Lonchura striata: one gene and its partner. The protein of the gene in region 1 purifies or fractionates together with the protein of each later gene. This does not show direct contact. Links are inferred from orthologs where the notes say so. Each region holds a gene or a part of one and is shown on either strand. Other genes may lie near its edges.

Region 1 (9,467 bases):
TGGAAATGAAGCAAGCCCTCTACTTAGGGGATGATCCCAAAAGGGGGAAGAGAGAGAAGATGGCTCCACCACTAAGAGCCTGAAGTTACAGTCCATCAAACCACAAATTCACTTCAACATAAATCTTTAACTAGCAGAGAAGGTGGAAGCCTTCTAAGGCCATCAAAGGCAAAAGCAAAAAATTCCTTGATGAGGGTTTATGGAAGGGTTCAGGCAGGGGATTGCACAAAGTAGACTTGGAAGGAGAATAATACCACCTTAGCCTTAAGTGAACAATTATCACACAGACATTATATAAAGAGAACCCTTCATCTGCTCCTCTGGCTGTAGCTTCCTCACAAACATATCAATATACAAGTGCTGAGAAGGAACAAAGGGAGAACAAAAATTCTCAAGTAGAAACTCAGGGAATGCACAGACAGGAACAACCATTAAATCACCAAACATTAATTCCTTTCTTATTTACCAATTAAATTTCACTCAATTTCATCAGTACCTTGTACTTCACATTCACAGCAAGTTAACTACACAAATGATTTAAGATGGATGGTTTCAGCTTCTTGTTTTGAATTGTTAGGAAAGATCTATCTCTGCTAAATTTAAAGATCTCTTAACTGTCTAAGGTTTTTGCCCCTGAACTCTGTAGGAGTACTTGAACAGCATAAATTACTTTCCAAAGACTACACTGGTAACACTTGTAAAGTTTGCTTCAAAAAAGAGGATGTGTCTATAGAAAACAGCCTAACTTGACCAGGAGCAAAGAAGCTGCACACAGACCACTAACCACACACTAATACCTTACTTTGAACTCATCCTGTGCTAAAAGGAACAAGAATCACAAGCCTAAAAAACAGCGAGATGCTGAACAGCTTGTGGGTTCCTTACCGCCTTCAGATACTGCATCTTCCTCAACACAGAGGATGCTAGTGCTAACAGAATTACTTCATTGTCTTTTATGTATTCCTTGGACATAGATTATCAGGAGGTGGGAAAAAAACCACCACACACACCTTTCATGACTAAGACTTTCACAGAATTTTTAATTTATCAGTCTCTATGCATTTGAAGTCCACAACTGAGCTAACATACATACTACAGTTGACTGCTTCAAGGAAAATCCTATCTCAGAAGGGTGAGGTTTCAGCACTAGCATCCTTCTTAACACAGGAATGAAGAGCATGGTAAGAACAGGCTTCCCATCTGTCACATGCATTAAAACATGGGTGATAAATGTGGCAGACAACCCACTTTTTTTCAGCTGTCACTTCAAAGAAGTCCTCATATAATCCTCAAGTGCGCAGACGAGCAGGCTACAGGTTGAACACTGAAAGCTCCTGTGATTTTGGCCGAAATTTCCACTTTCATTAGTCAAACACAGAAAGGATTGTAGCTACAGTACCAGAATCCCAACACACATAAACAGGTTCAACATTTTAAAAAACATAAATACCCAATTCTCTTGCATGTTTTTGTACATACTGCATGTAAATAAAATTATTATTCCAGTCAGGAGATACAGAGAGGTATCAACACTATGACTTCAAAAAAAAAACTAGATCCTAAGTTGTTAAAAGTGAGCCATCTCACCTGAATACTCATACTTCAGTTGATACTCAGAAGTTTCTACTTCTGCTCTCATGCTCTGTTTAACTTTTTAAAGTATCACAGACCTAGATAACACTAAGAAACAAGCTTAGATTGAGTTTAGATTAGACTCCAAATCTAAGAAAAGAGTAATGAAGAAAACAGGACTAGACATTATAGAAATAATGGCCTTGAAAAGACATCCACTAAAGCAATATAATCTATTTTCCTTTTTTTTTTTTTTAATTTGTTTTTGGAAATAGACCTAGTAATTAGCACAATAATTTGAGATTTCTGGTAGCAAATGTTTGAAATACTCTTAAACAAGAACATATATTAATTGTATCAGAAAAAAGTTTCTGAAAAATGTTAAAGGCAAGAAAGAGCTTTAAAAAAAAAAGCTAGAAGAGCACCTTAGAACTGTAGTCTGATGTAAAGTATCCTTTAAAATACAGTTAAAACACCTGCTAAAAGAAAGATGTGGTTACAGAAGAACACAAGAGGCATTAAACCATTAAGAAACTACTGCTGATTTGGTGGACATGGAAAACTAGAAATTTGCCACATTCTGATAAAATCTTATAACAGGAATTCCTGATACAGAAATACTATAGATTCTGGGGAAAAAAATACTGTCTTGCAGAAGACTTAAAAATGCAATGGAGAAGGAAAAGATTTTGAAAAACAAAACATAGCAATCAACAGCTATTGATATTAGAATTATTCACGTTGAAAAAGACCCTTAATATCGTAGAGTTACACAGAGTGTTTTCTGTGAAGGAGTCCCCTACTCAACAGGTCAGTGAAGACAAAGTTTCCAATTTCCTACCAACTTTACCAAGGTTCTCAGATGAATCACAAGATGGTTTGGACTGGATGGGACTTTCAAAGACCATCTAGTCCACTTTCCCTGACATGGGTAGGGACATCTTTCACTTGATCAGGTTGCTCAAAGCCCCATTCAATCTGGCCTTGAACATTTCCAAGGATGGGATTCACAAAGCCTCTGGGCAACCTGTTCCAGTGCCTCACAACCCCAACTGTAAAAACTTTATTCTCTGTGTCCAATCTAAACATACCCTATAACTGTTTAAAGCCATTGCCCCTTGTTCTGTCACTTTAGGCCTTGGTTAAACATGTCTTTCTTATAAGCCCTCTCTAAGCACCGCAAGGCCACAGTGACATCTCTGAGCAGAGCCTTCTCCAGGATCAACAGCCCGAACTCTCTCAGATCTGCTTTGTAGGAGAGGTTCTCCATTCCTCTCACCACTTCCATGGCACTCCTCTGGACCTGCTCTAATACATCTACATCCTTTCAGAACTGGGGGCCCCAGAGCTGAATACAGTACTGCAGATGGGGTTTCACAAAAGCAGAGCAGTGAGGGGAGGATCACTGCTCTCTACCTGCTGTCCATGCTTCTTTTTAAGGAGCTCAGAATATGCTGACCAGGATACACATTACTGCCTCATGTCCAATTTTTCATCCACTCCCCACATCCTTCCCTGCAGGACTGCCCTCAATCCACTTATTCCCCATTCTCAACAGATATTGGGGATTGCCTCAACTCACGGGCATAAGCTTGAGGTTTACACAGGTGTGCTCCTCAAGGCTGTCAAGGTCTTTCTGCATGGCACTACCTTCCCTCAGCACATCACCTGCACTGCTCAGCTTGGTGTCATGTGCAAACCTTCCAAAGGCACTCTCAAGCCCACTGTCTATGTTATTAATAAGATATTGATCATGATTAATCCCAATACAGACCTCTGAGGGACACCACTTGCTACTGATCTTCATTCCGACATTGACACAGTGACTACAACTCCTTGGATGTGGCCATGCTACCAGTTTCAGTTCCTCATTCACTAAACAGTTCATCCATTAAGCCTATAGCTCTCCAACTGAGAGATAACGACGGGGTGTGAGACCATGCCATGCTGTCTGCAACAGATGGGAACAAAGTCTGAGAAACAGACAATATATGTATCTGCATCTTGTTACACACTTTCTAGAGTCCTAAACTAGCAATAATCCACATGTAGGCCATGTTCAAGTAATTTATTACAACAGGTAATGCTCAAAAGTCTTAGTTACTGTCCTGGAAATATCTAAAGGGATTTTTCAGAAGAAAGGGGCATGGAGAGAGAAAAGAATAAGAGACCTGATGGACACTACTAATAAGGGAGAAAGCCATCTCTCATACAAGAAAAAAGATGCAATAAAAGCTTCTGCATGAGTTTATCTAGCGAGCCACGCTGATAAACAGAGCAATTTAAAAAGAAGACTCCGCAGATGCACGCCTTCCTTTCCACCCCTCCGACTGCTTACTAAAAACAGTCTTCGCCTTAACTGCAAGGGAGAAACTTAGGCAAACAGACAAGAGATTCATTGCCCTGCGGGAGACTCACAGCAGCATCAAGACACGAGGACCTGTAGCGGACCTGGCGCACGTCTATGGCTCCTCTCGAGCAGGCACCGGCGGGAGGCGGAGGTTCCTCAACCCGAACACGGAGCCCCCTTTCGCCCAAACCCCCGGCACGGGTGCCCCGCTCCCCGAGGAGGACAGCGCCTTCAGCAGCCGGCCAAAGGCTCCGGGGGAGCCGGAGGAGGGCACGGAGCCGTCTCCAGCCGCCTCCCGCCGCAGGGCTCCGGCTCGCAGGGCCGCTGCCGTGCCCGGCCCCTCGGCATTTCCCGGGCTGTCACCCCCGGGCCGGGAGGTGACGCTCCCTGCCGAGGGGCCCGGCACCTCTCCAGCCCTGCCGGGGCAGCCCCCGCGGGCTCCGAGCGCTGCCGCCGGGCGATGGCGGGGGACGCCGTTACCTTCGCTCTTGCCCAGGATGCGGCAGCAGAGGCTCTGCAGCAGAACGTTGGGGGATTTTTGGTCCGGAGTCGCCATCGCCGCGCGGGATGCAGGAGCGGCGGCAGGGCCGGAGCAGGGCGGGTTGGCGGAGGGAAGGAGGGGCCGGGACGCGCGGCGGCAGCGCAGGGACCGGGCGGCACCTCCCGCTCCCGCCTAGGGCGCCATTTTCACGGGACCCGCCGAAAGCCGCAGCCGCGGCCGCACGCCCACAATGCCCCGCGCGGCGGTTCCGGGGCGGGCCCGCGCCGCCTCCGCGCCTGGGCGCCGGCCCGGGTGCCGGCAGCCGCCCGCCCTCACAGCGCGCGGTCTGCGGCGCGGTCTGCGGCGGGGCCGGCGTGCCGGCGTGCCCGAGTGCCGGCGTGCCCGAGTGCCGGCGTGCCGGAGTGCCGGAGTGCCGGCGTGCCGGAGTGCCCGAGTGCCGGAGTGCCCGAGTGCCGGCGTGCCCGAGTGCCGGCGTGCCCGAGTGCCGGAGTGCCGGAGTGCCCCAGTGCCGGCGTGCCCGAGTGCCGGCGTGCCCGAGTGCCGGCGTGCCGGAGTGCCCGAGTGCCGGAGTGCCCGAGTGCCGGAGTGCCCGAGTGCCGGAGTGCCCGAGTGCCCGAGTGCCGGAGTGCCCGAGTGCCGGAGTGCCCGAGTGCCCGAGTGCCGGAGTGCCGGAGTGCCCGAGTGCCGGCGTGCCCGAGTGCCGGAGTGCCCGAGTGCCCGAGTGCCGGAGTGCCCGAGTGCCCGAGTGCCGGAGTGCCCGAGTGCCGGCGTGCCCGAGTGCCCGAGTGCCGGAGTGCCCGAGTGCCGGAGTGCCCGAGTGCCCGAGTGCCGGAGTGCCCGAGTGCCGGAGTGCCCGAGTGCCCGAGTGCCCGAGTGCCGGAGTGCCGGAGTGCCGGCGTGCCCGAGTGCCGGAGTGCCCGAGTGCCGGAGTGCCCGAGTGCCCGAGTGCCGGAGTGCCCGAGTGCCGGAGTGCCCGAGTGCCGGCCTTCTCCGGCCACCGCGGGCAGGAGCGAAAAGCCTTGATGGTGGGCTGCCAGAGGCCTTCGGATGTGGGGTTGCGGAACGTAGACACGGATGCAGAGTAGTCCTCTTGCCAAAAGAGGTTCTTTAACCCGGTGTGCTAGAGGCTAATACACACAGAGTCGAGGTATTTGATTTATTTACAGTTCTGCACTGAAAGGGGTCCTGGGTAGCAAATTCGCAAAGCCCAACCATCAAAAGCTTTTTTTACTATCATCCTAACTATCAAAATATTTTACTATTTATCCATTTTAGTAAACAAAGGAATTAATGTTTCTTGGCTACAAGTTACGTAGTTCTGTTCTTAATTAGTATTCTATATTCTATATTCATGGTTCCATTGCTTCTCATCCTTATTAGTCCACATTTTCAGTCTTCTTTTGAGAGTCGGTGGCTGTGAGTCAGGGGTCACAATCTCGTCCTGCCAGAATTACCTTTTACCCAGTCGGAGCTGATTTCAGCACAGTTGCTGAGTTTGCTTTGTTATTTACTTCTTGATCTTGGAAGTTCTGCTAGATGTCCTTGTGACATCTCAATTCTGCATTCTTTGTGTGCACCGTCAGTGGTATATTCTTCTTCCCAAGTTTGGTTAACCTCCCCCGGGTCTGAGGTCATTGAAACATATCGAGCCCTAACCTTAACAAAGCAATTCTTCCAACAACTAATTTGTCTTTCTAACACCTGGACATTGCTTACAGCTTCTTAGTTGCTCTCTGTTTCACAGATTAAATCTCCTTTTCTTGTTGTTGTTTAGGCTTGAAAGTATACAAAGATCAAACAGCAGAGAACACCCTTTCTTCAGAAATATTTACATATTCCACATTTTGCAACAATCCCACAATAGCCATAAGTGCTACATACAGACATCCTCACAAACATAACATAAAAGCGCTGAAAAGGAACATAGCCAGGGAAAAGAAAAATTCTAAAGTATAAACTGAGGGAATGACAGGAACAACCATTAGATTGTTGAAACTCAATTCTTTTTTGTTATTTACCCATTAAATTTTGCCCAATTACATCACTACCTTATATTTTACATTCAAAGCCGGCTAACTACACAAATGGTTTAAGATGAAGATATTCACCTTGTTACGAATTTTTACTAGAGATTTCCCAACTAAATTTGAAGATCTCACAGGTATCTAAGGGTTTTGCCCCCACACTCCATAGAAGTAATTGAACATGGTGAATGAATTACTTATGGGCAGGGCAGGTTCACTTACTCCCCCCAGAGAACAGGCTGGGGTGGCTGCATTTCTGTGATTTGCTGCCTTGGGGATCGAGGCTCATTTGTGGCTTTTCCACACAAAGTAATTACAAATCAGGGTGGGTCTGGAAAAATGTGTGAGGATCCTAGACCCACGTGTCCATGTCCTGCTGTGCTGTGCAGCTGGGTGTCCTCAGTCCCTGTGGAGGGCCTGGGCTCTGCCTGCTGGGCAGCACTGGGACCAGGGACAGCACGCTCACAGCTGGTCTGCTCTGCTCCCTGTGACCTGCTCCTCAGGCTTGTCACCCCTAGCACAGACACTGATGTTACCAGGTGTCTGAGTTCTATCTCTTCAGTAAATTCATGCTGTGTCCAGCCCAAAAGGCATACTTAGGAAGTAATTATTACCCTTGTGCTGCTGGAATCCTGTGTAACCTGTGACTGGAAATGCTGCAGCAGCAGCAGCCAGGTGGGCTTGGTGCACTGCTGGCTGTGAAATCATTCCTGCTGTGCAACGCGTGGCTTTCTGACAGCTCCCCTTGGCTTCACTGTTTCCATAGCCACAATTTTGTGTGTATGCTTTCTGCAGGCATGTAGACATGGCCTTTCATTATGGGAACATTACAGATGTAAACATCAGCTCATTGCTAGCATGACTGCTAGAAACAAATCACAGTGGCAAGCCAAGAACTGAAACACATTGAGGATGTATGGCAATTTGTTGCTTGGCATATACTAGTAGAAACCTTCATAGTCTAATTACTCACACTAGAACTCTTCAGTTCTTAGTGATACATTCTTTGCATTTTTTAAAGAAGTAAAATAGGACCCAAAATGAATAAAGTTACCAGAACTTTACCCTATGTAAATATGAATTGTAAGCTTAATTTTCAATAATTCTGAAGTAAAGGCTTCAAAGATGGTATAAGCTTGTAAGCTTTCTTTGTTTTTTTTTTTTTTTGGTACTGAACAGCAGAAGAGTCTCTGTTCCATTTTTCTGCCCAAAGCACACGCAGTTGTGCTACAAAGGGCTGGTGACTCACCACTGCTGCTAGTCACTTCAGATTTTAGATTCCACCGTGGAAGGTGTTAATCTAGCAAGCAGCAAATATGGTTCTCACATGAGGCAAAAGAAATAACCTCGGCAATTATATCTGGAAGTGGTATTCCTTTATAAAACCTTAACATTCCAAGGGAATCCAGTCACTGACAAATATCCTGCTACTGCTTTTAAGTGGATATTACTTTCTGGTCACACTAGTTCATTTTAACTAAAGCAATTGTGTCACTGGTCTGAAATCAGAACACATTACAGAGCAGCATGATGAGAAAATGCCATTGAAATGGGTGTGCTCATTGCCTCCTGCAAGCAGCAGTAAAAACACAAACCCAAGCTTTTCAACTTCAACACAACCACATGCTATGTTATGTCACACTATGAAGTAGTGTGATAGCCAGCCATTCTGTTACATTACTGAGAATGTATTCTCTCATTTCTAGTCTCTTTTTCCTAAGAAATGAGGTTTAATGCAGTTATTCTGTATGTCAGTGCCTCCTCATAACTGCTGGATCTCATCACCAATTTTAAAGAAATTCAGCAGAGGCATAGAGTTTTTAAGGATATAAGTAAAATTGAATGGAATTCAGCAGCTGAGAGTACCAAGGCTTAAGTCAGTCCCCCTTTGAAAAAGAAAGGTATGGGGAACTTACTTCTCCCTGCTGTTTGCCCTTAGCAAAGCAGCTGATTGGTGTGTACACACCCTGGACAGATAGACACACATCCTAGCTCCAATCCACCTACAGTACCAGCTCTGCTTGCCCAGCTTGGTGGATGGATGATTTAAGAACTGAAAGTGGAAGGGACTGGAACTCTGAACATAATGCGGAAAATGGTCAGAAAGAGACAAGACGAATGGAAAATAGAAGGAAACTAAATTTGATTAGTGTCATTCCTCACAGACCTCCTTGTTTGTTTTGTAATAGAAAGAATGAATCCTAAAATCCTGTTTAGAAATGCTAATTCTGATAGAGCAGGTTGCTAGCACATGAAATTCATTGTGGTTTTATGAACTCTGGTACAGCTATGACTGCTTAAATCAGCTTAAAAAAATCACATTACCAATGAGAAAAAGAAATATAAACTACTTTCTTACTGTATAGCTATAAGCTTAGTTCACCTTTCTGCTTGGTCTCTCAACCATTGGACAATTAAAAAAAAGTTACTGCTGCTCAGATTTTTCACAGTATAGAGTGTTCATCAGTTAGCAGAGTTAAATGTGTGTTTTTAAAATTATCACAGTATCTTACAAGAAAATCAGCTCATCCTTAGAAGGTCAAAGGGACTTGTGTTTCAGATCTGCTACTTAAAGATCATATTTCTGATAGTAAATAGTTTTATAAGGAAAGAACATGCCATCAGATCCAGCAGGAGGTGGAAGCTGAAGCTTGCCAAAGTAAGGCTAGAAATAAATGACAGTTTTAATTAAATAAGGATATTCACTCACTAGAGATAGATATTTAAAAGCATGGCTTTATTAATACCTGAAACATTTTAAATCACCCTTCTGGTACAGGCCTAGTCAGATATGAACTGACATGGGAGCTGCTGAATTATGTTTCCATTCTGCACAAGCTCAGAAGCTCAGTCTGCAGTGTATCATTGTCTACTTCAATCTTAAATAGTCTAAATCAAATCAATAGTACTAAGCAAAAAAAAAAAAAAAATCTTATCCTTACAAAAAAACTAAGGGTTAATTGTGCTGGTTTTGTGAACTCTTCTTTGGTTATGCCTACAGGGCACAATACCTTAGACA
Region 2 (9,477 bases), on another chromosome or scaffold:
GGCCTAAAATGATCACTGAGCTTGTTCTTCTATTCATCTGTTTGGAAACTAGCATTTCAGGTTGTTGAGGGTGCAAGTGATCATTCAGATGTCTTTATAATTTAAAGCATGTTTTTAAAAAACAAAGAAACCCCCTCAACAAAGAAACAACTGCCCCCCTAACAAGACAGTACTAAGAATAAAATGGTACAGTACAGAATATTTTTTATATCATTCTGAAAAGCTAAGGGAACCTTTCTGAATGTTGCTGTAAATATTATTTTGAAGTATTCAAGAAATACAAATGAGTCCTACCAACAGCCATGTGAGGCAATATGCTTGAGCATATTCTCCATCTCAATGGGTGGAGCATCTAAAATGCTCCAGGGTTTGAGATGGAGAATTTGACATGAACAAGTGAATTAGCAGACCAGGGAGGGGCCCTGACCCTTTGGTTTTACTCACATTCCAAATCCAGGCACTCCTTTGTTACTTATATTGATTTGTTTGCAACAAACATCAAAAAAACCCCAGGACATTTGGGCAGGAATCCTGTGAGACTTGTCCTGTAACTAATTATGGTTTTATATTTCCAGGAAAATTCATCATTAATGGTTACCATTCCTGGTCTCATTTCCTGTGAAAAATGCCAGTCCCTTTCACTTCAGTCAGGCACTTCCTGTACTGTAGCTCAGTGATAAAACAATAAACTTTTTGAACTATTTGGAAATTGCAGATTTACCTTGGCTTGTGCTTTTCAGAGAAATATCTGGTTGAGTTTCTTTTTGGGAGGAAGAGGGAGAGAGAGGTAAAATTCTGAATAATGAGTATCCTAAATGTGATCAGTGCAGGAAGAAAGGGAAAAAAAGTTCTCTCCTATTTCTCTTTGGTCCTATAAAAAAAAAAGAAGACTGGATGTATTTGCATTATGTGTAGCTGTTTAAAAGGTGAGCTGTTTTTTATTTTGTGTACACTTTTCTGGAATGCTGTAGGTAGTAGGAAAATTAGAAGGATAATGATACAGTGGTGTAAAGAAAGGGAAAAGTGAGTAATTGATAGGGCAGTTATTTTTGCAAGACAATTTAAAAACTGAGTTAGTATGTTTATTTAACTTGACTGCCTAACAGCCAGTTTGGAGGAGACACTCCTTAGCATTATTCTTTCGTTAAAATAATTTATTATTCTGCAGTTTTTCAAAAAGCAAGAAAGATAAAAATTGACATTACTCATTTTTCTTTTACAAGGAACAAGTAGGAAATTACAGCTTTTACAAAACAAACCAACAAGGTGTTCTGTCTTTTGTTGTGTTTTGAACAAACTAAAAATCTATCTTTTTTTTTTTTTTTTTGGGGGGGGGGTCACCTTGAGGATTATCTTAGGACTTTTATACAGCTTAATTAATATTTGTAAAACATGCTATAGCATCAGGTGAAAATGGAAGAGAAGTTCTATTACAGACAATGTGTTTTTTCAGTGCTGCCTGTTTGGACCTTGTTATATTTCCTATACTTGAAAGAGAAATATTAAATAAAAGCCTTTACCTATTCATTTAAAATACATTACTATACTTACTTTCCTATAATACATATTTTCTGAGATTTTTGTTTTAAAGAAGAATATTATCCTTTAACACACAGCACAGTGAAATAATAACATTAAAATGTTGACCTCACTGTATCCATAGCAGCAGATTTTATTCTTATAAACACAAGATAAAATATTCAATGCAGGTTTTAGAAGAAACATTGGAGAAAACATTTTTCTTTTAGCATATAATTAAACTCTTTAGTTAAAAACTGCTTGTAGGGAGGGAAGCTCATACCTGAATGTCTCCAGTAATCACACAGAAAAAAAAAGTATAAAAGCAATTGCAAAGCAAATTGTTTCTTGGTTATGTATTGCAGTAGTTGGGTGAGGTTTTTGTCCTTAGCAGTAAATGGAGACTAAAGCCTTCAATATGTGAAAGCACAATAGATTTGTGTCAACACCATGCTGAATTAGATTTGTATAGAATCTACTTGTGTCACTGTTTCCAAAATTAAAAAGGAAGAGGAGGAAGGAAGATTTCACTTTGTAAGGGAAGATCTTCCTGCTATGGGAAGTTCCTCTCTATGATCTGCCCCATACAACAATGCCAAAGAGCTACTATTGACAGCTTTGAACCCCTGGCATGTTTACCAATTATTTTCAAATTTTAACTGAAATATTTCTCCATTCTACATCTGTGGAAGGAATGGATAGTGCTTCTCTATCTAATAAATCGAGGGATGGGGCAAGGGAAGAGAGAGAGAAAAAAAAATAGAGAGAAAGCACACTTTGGGGAGAAATTGAAAGATTCTGAAAACAATGACATTTTATCTTCAGTCCATCCCATCAAGTGTGGGACAAGAAAGACCTATAGTAAAAGGAGGTGTTTGGGGTTTTAAAAATATTTCAGTATTTTCTGTTATGTGAACTGAATGAAGCAAAAACACTGAGAAAAAAAACAGCTTCTGGTCCTGTAATTAAAAATTTTATCATCAAGAGCATGCTGGACCTCAAATTGAATTTGAACAGGGAGCTTAACAGTGAAAGGTCTGAATGGATTTTAGAATATTTCAGTTTTCAAATACTCTTTCAATATAGTTTTAAATTATATTGGTGCCTTGAAAGATGTTCTACATTCAAGGCATTCACAGGATTTCTCATGCCTACAAATATACAGTAACTTGAAATTATTTCTGGTTAAATTAATTTTATGATGTGGAAATCAGTAATTTCACACAGATTTATCCAATTGCATGTGACTGGTTTTTAAATTCCACTACAGCTCTGCTACAATTCACAATTTTTTGTTGTCCAAAGTATATATTCATTTTCTGGATGACATCAATCTAACAAAATAATCCTAGTAATTACCCTCACTATGCCTCAGTTTCTTTATCTGAAGATAACAGTAATCCCCTCATCAGTGAGGGATTTTAAGTTTTCTGCAACAACATTTGGAAAATATTTTCAGATCCTTGAATGAAAGAGGAAGGCTATTTATATTATTATTCAGTTGAGACACACTGTAATGGAACAATCATTTGTTTCCAGTCCATTTCAGTGAAATCCGAGAAGGAAGATTCTTTAAAAGAATAATGATGGAGTTAGAATTAATTGTTGGCTAATATGCTGAACTAATTAAACCAGCAGAGAGATGCATTTATGCTTGCCAAAGGTTTTCTTTGAGTTAAAGATACTGAGAACATCATTAAATGAGAAAAGTGAAAATATGAAGCATAGGTTAATCTTTTAAACAGAGTGGGTGAAAGGGTCCAGAGGCAAGTGCTGAAGTCAAATATTTACCACTGCAATTTAATTTTCTACTTTGAAACCCCAGAGCTAATTAGAATTATTCTCATTTATCTACCATCTCAGCATGATTTAGGATTCTACTTAATGTGCAAAGAAAAAAAAGAAAGGCTGTGCTGAAGCAAATGGCACCAAAACTCGGTGTGGAACCAGATGCGCTACCTACAAAATAATCATGAGCTGACTGAGCCAGCCCTATAGTTCTGTGTGGAGGGTGAAAGTCTCTGAAAACACAGAGCACCTACAGGGCTGGTTTAGCTCCTGGCCAGACATTCAGAGTTGAAAAGTACATTTCAGCAACCACCTAAAAATTTCAATGCCCTAGGCAAAGCTCCTTGCTTTTTGGCAGTGATGATTTCTTCATTCCCTGTGAATTCTGGCATCATACAGCTACTATACAGCAGAGCTAGCAGAGAAAGTCAAGATCCTGTCTATCATATGAAATTACTGTATATATTTTATCATCATATAATGTATTAGTTATCTCTATCCCATTATCACATTCCTATGGTTCCACTACCAAATGGGATAATACCAACTTTTAAGTGGTTTCCAAACCACTCTAAAAAATTATTATAACCATAAAGAAATTAATGTCTTTTTTTCCCTAGTGTCCTGACTGCTCTTATTCCCTGGAACTCTGTGGCTTATCCTTCAGAACCTAATGTCACTGCCTCTACAATGAAAAACTTTTTTATGGGCAAAGAGGAAACCTATGTATGTTTAAAGGCAAAATGTATTAGCATAATTGAAATCTTAGCCTAATCCAAGAATTGTTATCCAGGTCTAATTATTACGGGAAAAGAAAGAATATTTCTATGTGGAAAAAGTTGTAATAATAATAGTCGTAATAATACAGTTAAAATATTATATAAACTATTTTTGTCTCTCTTCACCTGTGTATTGCTCACACTCCCACTGCTTTTACAGCCTTGCACAATTGCTGGGAATGCTCTGCCTTGCACCGATGGCCTTTCAGCAATAACACCACTTTGGCTTTAATGGTTGGGCTTAGAGCTGTGATCCTTTCCACAAATGGAATGCACCAACGTGTCCCAGTGGTTCCTTGCAAATACCAAGAACAAGCACAGCACAGGCACTGGCATAAAAAAAATGCCAGCAAAGGTCCTGCCAGCAGGAAAAATTGATTTAACTGAGGGCCTGTTACAGAATGAAGGAAAACATGCTGATCGTGTTTACTTAAAATCCCCCAAATTGTTAATTGTTCAAGGCTTCAGGGCTTGTCAGGCAGGTGCTCTCCTATCTGTCTGTAAAAACAATTATGCTCCACTGTGAGGAGATAAGGAAAAAAAGCCAAAGGATATGGCTGTGGTAAAGAAAAGGCTTTAGATTCTCTCTGTACTGAAGCTAGAATGGAATAACAAGTGCTGGGCTCAGAAGTGAAACATGACAGGTTTAGTAGCAAATTAGGACTCTAAAATGGAGCGAGAGTAGAAAACTTGCAGGAATGCTGTGGATCCCTTAACACTCAGCTGAGAAGGCAGGTGGTTGAAGATATAAATTATAACTAATGATTGGTTAATGAGGATTAATAGATGCAATAAAGACATGATCCTCAATGCTGTAGGGAAATAATGGCATTTTTTGTAACAGTGCCATGATTTATTTTCTCCTGATTCTGAGTGCATTTCCAGAGACTAGATATTAAATGAACTTGGAAAATCAAGACTCCATCAGAAAAGGAAAGTAAATCAGGCATTTCAGCTCGACTGGCTCTGAGGGTACACAGGGTGAAGCCTCGCTCAAAGGCAGATCTCTACAGAAAATTTTGTTAAAGTTCCACGTGGAATATATCTTTGAATTTAGTATATGTTGTTGTGTTTTGGGGTAGAAAGCAGGAGTGCAAACATGTATCACCGCGAAGCACTGCTACCTTTTATTTTACCGGATGAAAATAACAACAAAGTCCCTCCTCCTGTAAATTTCAGCATGACCAGGGTAACAGTTCTATTGCAAGTCAGGACACAGACGCCGCAGTTCTCTATTACTCGCTGTTACAGGAGTGATGCATTAACTGCTATCATTTATTGCGCTCTGTCGCCGTGATGTCCCGGTGTCCCAGATGTGCGGAGACCCCAGATGCAGCCGGACGCCTTTTGCTCAGCGCTGGAATCTCCAAACGCGGCAGAGGCGGCGCCCCTCAGCCCGCTCCGGCGGGTTCTCAGCGCGGCCCGCGCCCCGCCCTTCAGCCGCTGCCGGGCCCCCGCCCTGCCCGCCCCGCCCCGCCCCGCCCGCGCGCGGCCCCTCCGCGCCGCCGTAGCGCGGGCAGCGGCGCGCGGGGGCTGCCGGGACGGGGCGCGTGAACTCGGGCGCGGCGCGGCAAGCCGGGCCCGGCGGGGCGGGCGGAGCCGGAGCCGGGCCGGGCCCGTCCCTCAGGCGGCGCTGGGCCGGGCCTCGGGGCGAGCAGCGCGGGCTCGGCCCGGTGCCCGCCCGGCCAGGTGCGCGGTGCCGCGGGGAGAGCGCGGGAGCGGGCCGGGGCCGGGGCCGGGCGGTGGCGAGGGGCGGGGTGCGCCGGGCGGCTCCTCCCGCGGCCTCCGCGGCGGGAGGCGAGCTCTGTGTGAGGCGGCAGCGCGGCCCCGCGGGCTGCTGCCCACTGAAGGCGTATGTGGACCCTGAACTTCTTGTGCAGTTTTGAGTGTTAACAGTCCCGGCAGTAAGAATGAATGGCCTAAAGCTGTGTGAAGCGTCCCGCAAGCTTTGGCCAAGGGGCGTTTGTGTTCTCAGCTGAAGGGAAAGCTCACGTTTATAGTCCTCGTCTGTTGATAGTTTAAAATTATCAGGAGTAAAAAGCTGAGAGTCAGCGCTTCAAACCAGGCACCGGTTAACCTGGCTTGAAGTCTTAAAAGGTGTCACTCAAAATAAGTAGCAGTACAATGCTCTTGGCCTTTTTGGTTCGTAATGTTTTGTAAGGTGCGATGTAAGGTGACTCGCTGTCGCTTGTATTCTGCTGTCAAAGGTTTAGTTTAAAGGATTCTCGGATGTCTTTGGAGTAGTGAGATGAACGCTGAAGTGAGTCCTTTAGGTCCGCACTGCCCGCCTTGCCCTGCAACAGTTTGATTCTGGTTTGTATATCCCCATCTGCTGGTGGGAAATGGGCCCTTCAGATACTCAGGGCTTCCTGGTAGGCAGCTGTGAGCTGTGGAGATAAAGGCTTCATTTTAGTCTCTTCATGCCGTAGAGGGCCTGGCTTTGTGAGAAAGAAACCACGCGTTTCCTTCCGGAGTTTAAGTAGCAAAAACTTGGAGTGTCTGATGCTTTCGTTTGTGTGTGCAGCTGAACGGTACTAACTGTTTAACTCAAAATAAATGGTGCAGTTATCAAGAAAACTTTAACTGTATCTTTTAAAATTGTAATTTTGAATTGTTAGGTTGCCTGGTTGATTTTTTAGTTTTATGTATTTTCACTTATTAATTTATTTCTGCCAAAACAGGTGCAGCCATGCAAGAAGGCATACGTTTTGCATCATCAGGAGATGATATTAAAATATGGGATTCTTCATCTTTCACTGTGGTGGAACAGTTCAACCCACATACGCCCTCACATCCAGTCAGTTCACTGTGCTGGGCCAGCAATAGTATCCTTTACAGTTTCAGCCATATTTCTGTGGGTGTTCTGCAAAATTCCACTGTTTCTTTTTCTTTCCTTTTTTTACAGAAATGTTTGTAAAACACAGGCCTGATGTATTTTGAAGTCTTGCATAAAAATATTGGTATCTGTTTTGACCAAAGTTTTGTGGTTCCTTGTGCTGAAGAGATTTACAGAATGAGATCATGATGGTAAATAATTCTGAAGAAGTTTCTTAGCTCGGGAACCCACACTTTTTTAATGGCTGTAATGTGCCTGAATTGCCTGCCAACTGTAAACCTTACACATTTGTTTCTTCAGTAGTTGATTATGATGTTTGCTTTCAAGATGGTGCCTAATTAACTGACAAGCTTGAGCAAAGCAACTGCTGGTGTAGTAAAATTCTATACATAGTATAGTGAGGAAAATTATAATTATTTTTTTTTTTTCCATAGGACAGCTTCTCGTTGATTCTGACAATCATTGATAGTGTTCATTTACCTCTAAGCACTGGTTTTCTTTCTATTCTTTGTAAGCATTTTGAGAGGAAACACAAACCTATTGTTGTGTAGGAAAACATTCACTGGGTGGTGGTGGTTTGTCATCAAAATGGATCTGACCCATTTAGGTCTTTCACCTCTGACTTGGAAGCCAAGGAAGTCTTGGATAATGATACGAGGGGCCAAGTGGTAGATGAAGATATGAGAACTTTCAGTGGGCTGTCAGGTAAATGACTTGTGTGGCTGTCACAGGAGAAGGTGGTGGTGTCTCATCTTGACGTAGGAGGCCAGGATGCTGGCACACAGCATACGAGTCCTGCAAGTTCTGAATGTCTGTCCTCAAAGTTAACGTATGAGAATAAAAGGTTACACCAATTGGAACACAAATGAATGTTTTAGCTATGGAGCTTGCAGAGAATTTGAAGCACAGATGTAATGTTTTCATGTGTATGCATACACACTAGTATGTGTTTAGTAAACTTTTATCTACAGTCTGTCTTAACATGCTTTAATCAAGTCTCCTCTTCATCTCCCAACACTGAATATTTGTTAGCTTGTTAAGGATAAAGCATTAGTTCTGGTTACGCATAGTTATGTAAAATTATACAAACGTGCCGTAAAATAGTGACAGCAATAGCAAACACTACTCTGCCTACTGGTTCTGTTGTGTTAAATCCAGCCAATTAACCTGTGTTATTCTTTAATGAGCTAATGCAAAGTCACAATGGGCATTGGCCAGAAGACTGATTACTCAGTTTGTTTGGTGATGGTGGAGATGCAGTTTTCCTGCTCTGTAATTCTATAAATGTTCTTATTACTTTGGAGTACTTGGATTCATAACAGGTTATTTTTGGGATTTTGTTTTTCTTCTCTCAGTACAGAGTCGGGGAAACCGGCAACTGCTCTTTGTACTCTAGAAACTGTGTAGTGAAGTAGTCTGACATTTGTCATGACCAGGACCATTCTTTAAATCCATAGTCTGCTAACAGCCACAGACACTCCTTTGAACTAGTGATAAATGGTGCTCATACTTGGGGGTGTGGGGAAACAGAATTGTAGACTGGATAAGCTGCCTTAGTGGTAAAGAGCTCTTAAATAATACCTGGCAGATTTTTCTCGTCTTTTCTATCAAAGAAATTGCTGTCTGTCTTGTATTGGCAAGTAAGGGCTGTAGTTAATTTAAGAGCTTCTTAATGAAAGCTTGGAAAATGGCCTTATGTTTCTGTTTCTAGGTCCCTCCAAGGTCCAGTGCTTTAGACTGTGTAGCCAATCTGTCTTCTGTTCAATAAGGGAAACTTCCTGTTGCTTGTATTAATCACCAGTATCCTACAATTATGTTCCTTAACTTGTGACAAAGATAGATACCTGGCTACTGCTTCTGCTGCTGGTGATAAAATAATTGTTTCAAGCTGTAAAAGCAAACCTGTCCCACTCTTTGAAATAGCTGAAGGAGTAAGTATACCCTCATTTTTTCCCCAGTTCACTTGATATTCTTTGTGTCTCACATCTGTTCTGCATATTGGGGTCAATATAATTTTAGTATTGTTAGAATTATGACATGTACATAAAAACATTTCCTTGTGTATTGTTAAACACATATAAAGATTGGGGGCAATAGTGCTTTTAAAACAGCTCTGTCAGTAAGAAGATACAGATGCAGTTATTGAAATGTGATCACTTGGGGCAGTCATGGTTCAGATGTGATCTAATGTGTAGGAGATGGACTAGCTCAAGTTTGAACTTCATTTTCTAGCTTGAGCTGTCAGTATTTGCATGCCTATGAATTGTACACTGGAAAATATAAGAGTCTATGGAAGGGTTGTTCTTGGAGCGTACATGTGCCAGCTTGCATTGCAAGAAACAAGAGAATTTGTGTTGTGTTCAAGGCTTTTGTTTTGCTTAGTTAAAAAGAAGTGTGGCACTTCAAAAAGCTGGACTTAGTTTTAGAAGAGTCTCTTCACATGGTCACTTAAATAGCTTGTTAGTGTTCTAAGCCATTCTAATTATTCTCCTTGGATAGCTGTTGTAATGCTAATTTGGACTGGAAATTTTCTGAAAAGTTATTCAAACCTTGCTT

The links.
Region 2: the proteins of TUBGCP3 (region 1) and NEDD1 purify together in Homo sapiens (affinity purification with mass spectrometry; 3 studies listed by BioGRID and IntAct, with this or other methods). This does not show direct contact. The link is inferred for Lonchura striata from reciprocal best matches to the Homo sapiens genes TUBGCP3 and NEDD1.

The regions. Positions count from the first base shown.
Region 1 is NC_134604.1:91,910,600-91,920,066, reverse strand, and holds the start of TUBGCP3 (gamma-tubulin complex component 3), read right to left. Parts: upstream 4,655-9,467; 5' UTR 4,479-4,654; coding exon 4,403-4,478; intron 1-4,402. UniProt on the Homo sapiens protein: Component of the gamma-tubulin ring complex (gTuRC) which mediates microtubule nucleation.
Region 2 is NC_134607.1:54,832,661-54,842,137, forward strand, and holds the start of NEDD1 (protein NEDD1), read left to right. Parts: upstream 1-5,680; 5' UTR 5,681-5,774; intron 5,775-5,915; exon of another isoform or gene 5,916-5,937; intron 5,938-6,766; 5' UTR 6,767-6,774; coding exon 6,775-6,910; intron 6,911-8,757; coding exon 8,758-8,852; intron 8,853-9,477. UniProt on the Homo sapiens protein: Required for mitosis progression. Promotes the nucleation of microtubules from the spindle.